Linked DNA regions of Oryzias latipes. The protein of the gene in region 1 interacts with the protein of each later gene in a biochemical or structural test. Links are inferred from orthologs where the notes say so. Each region holds a gene or a part of one and is shown on either strand. Other genes may lie near its edges. The genes, in order: dcaf11 and slbp.

Evidence for each region.
Region 2: the proteins of dcaf11 (region 1) and slbp form a complex in vitro, tested with the Homo sapiens proteins (2 studies listed by BioGRID, with this or other methods). The link is inferred for Oryzias latipes from reciprocal best matches to the Homo sapiens genes DCAF11 and SLBP.

Annotation. Positions count from the first base shown.
Region 1 is NC_019878.2:12,376,410-12,380,227, forward strand, and holds part of dcaf11 (DDB1- and CUL4-associated factor 11), read left to right. Parts: intron 1-78; coding exon 79-147; intron 148-295; coding exon 296-353; intron 354-1,695; coding exon 1,696-1,881; intron 1,882-2,038; coding exon 2,039-2,192; intron 2,193-3,011; coding exon 3,012-3,164; intron 3,165-3,253; coding exon 3,254-3,360; intron 3,361-3,818. UniProt on the Homo sapiens protein: May function as a substrate receptor for CUL4-DDB1 E3 ubiquitin-protein ligase complex.
Region 2 is NC_019868.2:4,691,346-4,695,905, forward strand, and holds the start of slbp (histone RNA hairpin-binding protein), read left to right. Parts: upstream 1-1,745; 5' UTR 1,746-1,868; coding exon 1,869-1,933; intron 1,934-3,523; coding exon 3,524-3,637; intron 3,638-4,419; coding exon 4,420-4,533; intron 4,534-4,560. UniProt on the Homo sapiens protein: RNA-binding protein involved in the histone pre-mRNA processing.

The DNA.
Region 1 (3,818 bases):
TATCATAGGCAGTGTGGTTGTGAGTCACTGACTGTGCTTTTACTGCATCATCAGATTTTGTGTGTTTGTGCTTTGTAGTCCAGATGAGAGGAGGTTCTGTGTGTTCTCACTGACAGCGTCAACAGATGGCAAAGAGATTCTGGGCGGGTGAGTAGCATTTGCTTTTATGATTGACAAGGACCGAAGGCTTCCAACGCTTTCTGTTCGCACAAGTCAAACAGGTTATTTAATAGAAACGCTGAACATTTTTAACGCCAATGTTTTCATTCTGGATTTGTTTCCTTCCTTTTTCCAGAGCAAATGATGGCTGCCTTTACGTTTTTGATCTGGAACAGAACAGACGGACGCTGAAGGTTGGATTCTTGTGCATAGTTTCCCATCTTTTTTCTTCAAAAATCAGTGTGTTTTGGCCCCGTAGTACTTCCTACTTTTCAATACAACTCGAGAAAATTCACATTTGTTGAGCTCATAGAGACGAGGTCTACAACCTTTTTCAGGCCACGATTACTTACATGTCAGACAATATTTTCATGGCCTGTCTTTAATTTAGCTCCCAGTTTCTCTAAACTTTCGAGGTAAAGTTTGTCTTCATCCTCTGGGAAATATCTGCATTTGTTTTAAACTTTAATTGAACACTAGATTTCAAGTAGGAACTTTTCAAATGTGATACAGATTACTGACAAAATGGAAGCAAAAAAAAAAACCCAACAGTGTCAGTTTTACTAAAAATAATAATAAACATGAACCCACTGTTCCTCATGACTTCAGACAGTTGGTTGCTGAATATTATTAATTATTATTATTATAGTGTGTGGGAACAACTATCCATATTTGGAGCAAAGACTCTTCGTTTTTAACGTTAAATGCAGATTTCTTCTGTTTCTTCACTGGCTCCTTTCTGTAAAAAGAACACGTTCGATTCTTTTTTACATTGCCATCTTGGGGATTTCAATCTAGCGGTCCACACAGCCGATTTAAGAAAGTAGTGAATGTATTTTCGAAACATGACCTAGCGACTTAACCTGGGTCAAGAATGAGTCTGATGTAGTGGGGCATCCAGTCGTTTTCCCAAATAAAACTGCATAAAATGGGAAAAATGTAGGTCGTGGTTTTTTGTCCTCCGCTATGGAACGGTACCGGACGATTGTTTAAAAACTCACCCCTTGGATTAGAAATTTGCAGCCTTTTTTTTGTTGATTGGGTTAATCAAACAGAAAAACGTAGCCTTCGTTTGTCAAATGTAACAAATTAAAAAGGAAAAAAGGAGTGTGACGTACAGGATTATTGGAGCTGAAATCCGATGCGATAAAGGTATGTTGTCCTTAGATGAACCCTGGTCTCCATAATCCTCACAGAAGCTTCAATTATTGGGCTTAGTGGCACCTTTAGCTAAATTAGAAAGAGGACGCTGATGTGGAGTTTTGTTTAAAGCGTAGCATCAAAGGGAGCAGCCCCACCCTGCAGAGAGGCAGTCATGTTTAAACCCGCCTCTCCTCCTCCTCCTCCTCCCCCCTCAGCCACCCTCTGTGTACCAGTCAGCCATTGATCTCCACCATCTGCTTCATATTTGTCCTACTGTCTTTCAGACTCTCTCCCTCCCATTTTGCATGTGTGTTTGCGCATGTCTGACTAGACAAAGCAAGAAAGAAATTCATTACCACAGACCTCCCTGTGTTTTGCACCTGCCGCTCTTAGATTGACGCCCACGAAGACGACGTGAATGCGGTGGCGTTCGCCGACTCTTCGTCCCAGCTGCTCTTCTCTGGCAGCGACGACGCTCTGTGCAAGGTGTGGGACAGGAGGACGCTACGAGAAGACCGACCGCAGCCCGTCGGACAGCTGGCTGGCCATCGAGATGGCATCACCTTCATCCACAGCAAGGTATGCGTGTTTTGGTTTAATCCATCTGTGAGAAATTTCCTCTCACAAAGCGATCGGTTGAGGAGTGTGTATTTTTAGCCGAGCGCAATTCGTCTGGAATGTCGGTGTGAAAGTGCGCTTCGTTTTCTTTATTATTCTTTCCTCCCGGTTGTGCCAGGGGGATGCGCGCTATCTAATCAGCAACTCCAAGGACCAGTCCATCAAGCTGTGGGATGTCAGGAAGTTCTCACCCAAAGAGGGGCTGGCTGCCTCCCGCCTGGCCGTCACCCAGCAGAACTGGGATTACCGCTGGCAGCAGGTTCCCCAGAGAGGTGAGGAGGGAGACGGAGGGATTGGAGTTGAAGCAGAGGGATTGGAGTTGAAGCAGCCCTCCTGATGACATGGCTTTCAGGCTGCATATAACGTACCCATGCTTCTCGTTTGTTACTGTGGCTGCAAACACTAATTATGTTGTGTTTTTAGAGCATGCATGAGTCACAGCACAGTCACAGTCTATACACTAATTAGAGATATTTTAAAGGCTCACTCCAATGAAAATAACATTTTTAACATGTTCTGGTGGCATTTTTCTGATGGAGGACATATAATAAGAATAAGCTAAACTCTGCATTACTGAGTATTTCTTGTTTAAAATTGCTGTGAATGGGGAGCAGTTGAAAAAATGCAGCTGGAAAAAGCCTGTAGCTGTAATGTAGGTGCTACAATCAGTGGGCCAGACGTTCCTTTCTGATGCAATAAAATCTTTTGAACAAAATGCAAATTTTACCTACCAGTAGTAGGTAACTGTCCATGTGCAGTGACTGCTAGCAAGCGAGTGTCAGCTAGTTTCATGTGTTTTTAGCAGCTTGTTTTGGGGGTTTTCTCCTTCAAACATCTGCTTGAATTCTTCCACCTTTAAAGAGGGTCTTGTTCTTGCAGCCGGCACTACAAAAACTGAATCTTAAGAAAGTAAAAAGACCCTTTTTCAAGAAACATTGTCTTTTTTTTGTCTAACCTAGAATTTTATTCAACAGAAAAATGATCTTAGTGTGAGAAAACCTGTCTTAATGACTGGAATTGTTTTCTTAAATGTGTTTCCCCCCATCGTCCTTGAACATTGTCGTGTTTTTTGTATTTGCTTTTTCTCACAGCTCTAAAGAAGCACAAACTGACAGGTGACACTTCGGTGATGACGTACCGTGGACACGGCGTTCTCCACACCCTCATCCGCTGCCGCTTCTCTCCGGAGTTCAGCACCGGTCAGAGATACATTTACTCGGGCTGCTCCACCGGCAAAATCATCAGTAAGTCTCTAAATGTAAATACTGTACGTGTAGACCGGATGCTTTTATTTTGAAGAGTTGAAAGTGTTTGAACGCTGGTGTGTGTCCAGTTTATGACGTGCTGAGCGGAGCCGTGGTTTCCAGGCTGTTGGGTCATGACGCGTGCGTGCGGGACGTCAGCTGGCACCCGTATGAGGCCAGCATCATCAGCAGCTCTGTGAGTATCTTTTAAGAAATGGAATAGAATAAGCGTTCCTGTCATTGTCACATGTTACATGCACAACAAAATTCCAGAAAGTGTCATTTCAGTCGCATATTCAGAAAAAAGTAAACAACATAATAGAATGTCATAGTCCATTTAGGGCAAGTTAAAACACAACACAGAAGGAAAAAAAGTACAAATTACATTACATCGGGGCAGCACTGAGCTTCAGTGGCCCTTAATTCAGTCAAAAAATAAAAAAACGTTCAATTAAACTGGATTTTTTTCAGATCTTGTCTATAAGTATGAGGCTTCTGCAGGAAATCATCTCAAAAAACAAAAATTCCAGAAAGTAAAAAGGAAAAAATAAGGAATAAAAAGGAAAATAAATTTCATTTTAATAATAAAATATAAATTATGGGTTTTAAGCTTTTTAAACAGTTAGTAATATTATTTAAAAAGTGCTTTTCACA
Region 2 (4,560 bases), on another chromosome or scaffold:
ATCTCACTGTCAATGCAGCCTTTGCAATCTAAAGCCATAAGACCTGCAGCCCGTCAAATGGCAAATCTGGTGGGGGTCGCCAGAAGTAGTGTATGCCTTCAAGCTGAAAATTGAGTCATGTTGAGTTTGGCTGGTTTGTTGGACCCCATGGGACAGATGACGGGTATCAGCAGTCCAATCAGCATGCAGTAGCAGAGGCAAAAAGTCTTCCCGGGAGAAGTTCAGGAGTGTCATGGAGACCCACTGTCAGTTTGAAGGAGATTCAGGAGCGCTTCCCTGCTAATACTGTCTACAGTATAGGTGGAGAACTGTTTACATGGGTTGTTGTGATCTAACAATATGTATGAAAAGTGCTGAATAAATAATTAAAAAAATGGTTACAAGAGGTCCATGAACCCTGCTCCTGCACAGCTGCAGGTCCTACAGCTGGTTTGAGAGCAACAGAGATCAAGGAAGACAGAAAAACAAGCAGAATAAGCTACCGGTACATCAACCACAGAAGCAAATTTTTAGGACAGGTACTTTTAGGACATATTGTGTTTCAAAATGTACTTTGTATTAAATTCCATTACAATACTGAATCTATGAAATATCTTTTTAACAATTAGAATACTTCCTTTAATTATGGAAAAAACACTTTCAACAGAATAATATGAAAGTGGTACAATGAATTCCAAAAAACATATGGTTGTGATATTATAATCCCAAATAGATGCAAAGAGCTTTTGAAATGGTCAATTTGTCTTGAGCCAAAACATTATATTTCAATTTTAAAAATAGATGTAACCCTGCAACGCTGAAATCAAAGGTTAGTTTTACGTTGAAGCCTGGAGTTTTAATGCTGTTCAGGGTCATTTAGTTGCTGGAGCCAACCCAGGTACTCTTGGGCAAAGGTGGGGTAGACAGTTTGACAGTCCATTACAGGGCCACACAGAAACACACACACTCACATTCCCACCGAATAGATAATTTACCAATTAACCTGTGTTGCATGTTTATGGACTGTGGTCGGAAGCAAGAATCCCTTGAGAAAAACCACAGATGTTTGGGATAAACATGCAAACTCTAAACAAAAAGAACCCATCAAGGATTCCAACACATAAAAAGGACATTGCTAACCACTACACCACTGTGCAGCTTTGCTCGGCTTAATTCAATTGCAATACATTTTGAACAGATTGATGGTTTTTCTCACCATTTTGACAACCCCTAATTTTAATTCATTACTGTTTAAAATAAACGTAGGCAAACAATGTTAGAAGATGTCACTTATAGATTAAATGTTCCCTCGATAAAAGCTCCTCTTTTATAGAGTCGACCCTATTAACTGTAGACATTAGACTGAACAACACAGACACATTTAATGAAAGAGTTACATGTTTGATTTTTCCTTTAAAGTTAGTAAAAGAATAAGCATCGCAGTTGTTTTTATTTGTCTCTCAATTTCTGATTGTGCTCAATTACATATTTTAAATGTGTGAAAATAAAAAAACAGCTCAAAGCTGTCAGATCCATGTCATATGAGTTTTGATTTAAAAAATCTTGTTAATTAGAAGACCCTTTATGACGTAATAGCTTTTGCCGTTATTGTGGGTGGAGTCAAGGTTTTTTATTTTTATGATTAAATGTATTTACTTGTATTTCAAACTATATTCTTTTTCATACAAAAATAAAAAAAACAAGTCTGAACATTTTTAAATTGAAGGGTTCGATGGTCACGTGGTTCCCAGCGGAGTGTTTGGCGCGGTGCCTACGGAAGTGACGTAGCACTCGTCTTTGTGTTTGGCGCGCCGCGGGTTTTTGTTTTCTGTGCTTGGCGCAACTCGGGTTTTGGTGTCAAACGAGCAGTTTTCCCGCAGAACCGGATCATGTCTACCAGAACCCCTGACCGGCGGACCGACGCCACCAGCAGCCGCCGCGAACACACCCGGAGGTGAGGAGTTCCGATCCAGCTTGGTGAATTCGGAGAAGGCTGTTCCGTTCGGACTGAACGCCGGGACCGGCGGACAGCAGACCGAACTACCGAGAGAGGGAACTCCAGTCCTGCTCCTGACTCTAAACACATAGGTTTTTAGTCGGTTCTTGGCGGGTTTCCAGAACCTCAGAGGTCTTGAGAGTCCTCGACCACAAAAAACTGTTTTGACCGAACGAGCAGGTTTAGCTGTTTATTAACAGAACCGGGACGGATCATTATATACGTCGGTGTTCATTCTTTAAACCGGGTTTAGTGGAGACGGAAATGTAAATATCCGAGCTTTAACGTGTCGTGTGTGGTTCTGTGGATCCTCTTCTGTTGGATCGTGTTCTGTTTGGGAACAGTCCTCCGGAAAACCTCGCACTGTTTCTTGGTTCCGCTGCGCGGGGCAAATGCGCGCCAAAGCCGCACCTTTAGTGCAGATCCTACTTCATATAATGCAGTAAAGGCATTTCCACCTGCTGCTGTGAGGCGTTTAGACAGGAACATTGTGTTTTTAACATGTTCGTCTGACTGATGATGGAGGACACACCGAGAGAAAATTAGCTTTAAAAAACTTTTTGGAGTTTTTCTTTATTAAAGTTTTAGTTAATCAAGAGTAAAAAGATCATTTTTGTGACGTTGAAAAGACGTCACAAAAAATACAAGATCCCTGCTCCTCTCCATTCTTATTCATCATCTGTCAGACAAACAGATCCATGTTTGTCTTTGTTTTCTCGTCTGAGCTGGAATCTGGATCCAAACTGGACGTCTGGATAGATCCGATATCGCTGGCTATTTTTGTTGCATTGATAATGTTAAGTTGGAGCTGTAAGCAAGCAAACAAAGGCATGATGGGTAAAAAGGGCATGTCCTCTCACCGCCAACAGCCACAACTCAGAGGAGAATTCCTGCCGCTCTGCAGAAACTATGTCCTAGGTCAGGGGTGTCCAACTCATTTTTTACTGAGGTCCACATCAGCATAGCTGCAGTCCTCAAAGGGCCAGATAAACCTGAAAAATAAATGTAACTACTACTTAATGTTAAATTACTCATTTATTTATTCTAACTTTTTAAAGTGACAATTCCAGTTGCATAGAAAACATATATTTGTTGTTATTCTAGCATAAATCCTTTTACATTTGATTCTGTCAGGTTAAGTTATATGGACAGTGTTTAAGTCCTACTGTTTAGTTGCCCAATCCCATATTTCAAGTCTGATTCTCCCTAGATATGAATAAATACACACCAATTTTTATTTTTTATTTGAGAAATTAAAAACTTTTATGCTCTTGCGGGCCACAGAAAATGACATGGGGGGCCACGTTTGACCCGCGGGCCTTGAGTTTGACACGTGTCTTAGAAAGTGACATAGGTTGTTAGATTATGACTAAAAACGCCTTGATCCTAATTCAAAGACCACTGGGAACACTTTTACAATAGATCAGAAGAGACAACAAGCTCTGTTAGAAACCCAAACCCTCTGGTTTACGGCAACAGTTTTAAAGCCATGCACACGGCATGTCTGCACTCATAATGAAGACCCCCCCCCTCTTCTTTACTGTCCAGCAGCGGTCCGTCCCGGTGGTCCCACTGCAGGAAGAGAGGCGTAGACGGGAGCATGCGCACAGACGAGCATGAGCGCACAGACGAGCATGAGCGCACAGAAGGGAGACATTCCAGGTAACGTTCCAGGTATATTATTATGATGATGATGTGGTCCATTTACATTACTGAGGCCAAGTGCTCCATCTACAGCCAGACAGCCACAACCACTGTCCTGTGTTTCAACCAGTTACTGTAAATGAGAACGGAACCGACAGACTCCTCCCCCTGGCATTCCAAACAGGAAGTACCCGCTGGTTCCAAAAAGCTAAAATGCCATAAACTTCCATAGAGAAATAAACAGCTGTTACTCAGTCATTTTATTTGTCCAAATAACTTTTTTTGCTCTGACACCTTTCATTAACATGCCCTCGATAACTCGTTTTTTTATATTTTATCTTTAGTGCAATTTATCCAAAATATAAACTGACCAATCAGAGCATTTGATTGACAGATTTTGTGCAGCCGGTGGTTCTGCTGGTGGAAAAACTGAGAACTTAAAGCAACAGTATTTAGGTAACAGTAAAAAAGCTTTTTCAATCCATTTATCTTCACTTTTGAACCAATCACATTCAAGCTCACTCCTGATTGGCGAGAGCGGTTGCCGTAGAAACATTGACTCAGACAGACTCGATTCCAAAATGGTGGCGTCCGTGTTGCAAAGAAATGGCGACTGAATTGCCTTCATATGGTTGGAGCCAGACGTGAACCATCTTCTACGGTTGACGTCACACTCACTCAGTCACTCAGTCCAGTTGTCATTACAGTCAGTGGTTTCAGCGGTAATAGACGGCGGTTTGGACCCCTGCAAATATACTCCCAGATGTGGGGCTGAACCCGTTTGTCTTTGTCCCCCCCAGTTTTACCACCCCAGAGAGTTCAGGTCCCGTGTCCCGCTGCGCCGCGTCATCTGACTGGGGAAGTCAGGTGGAGGACAACGAGATGAGGAGAGACCTTCACAGAGACCTGCAGCGGTAAATGTCCTGTGAGCTGATTGGCCG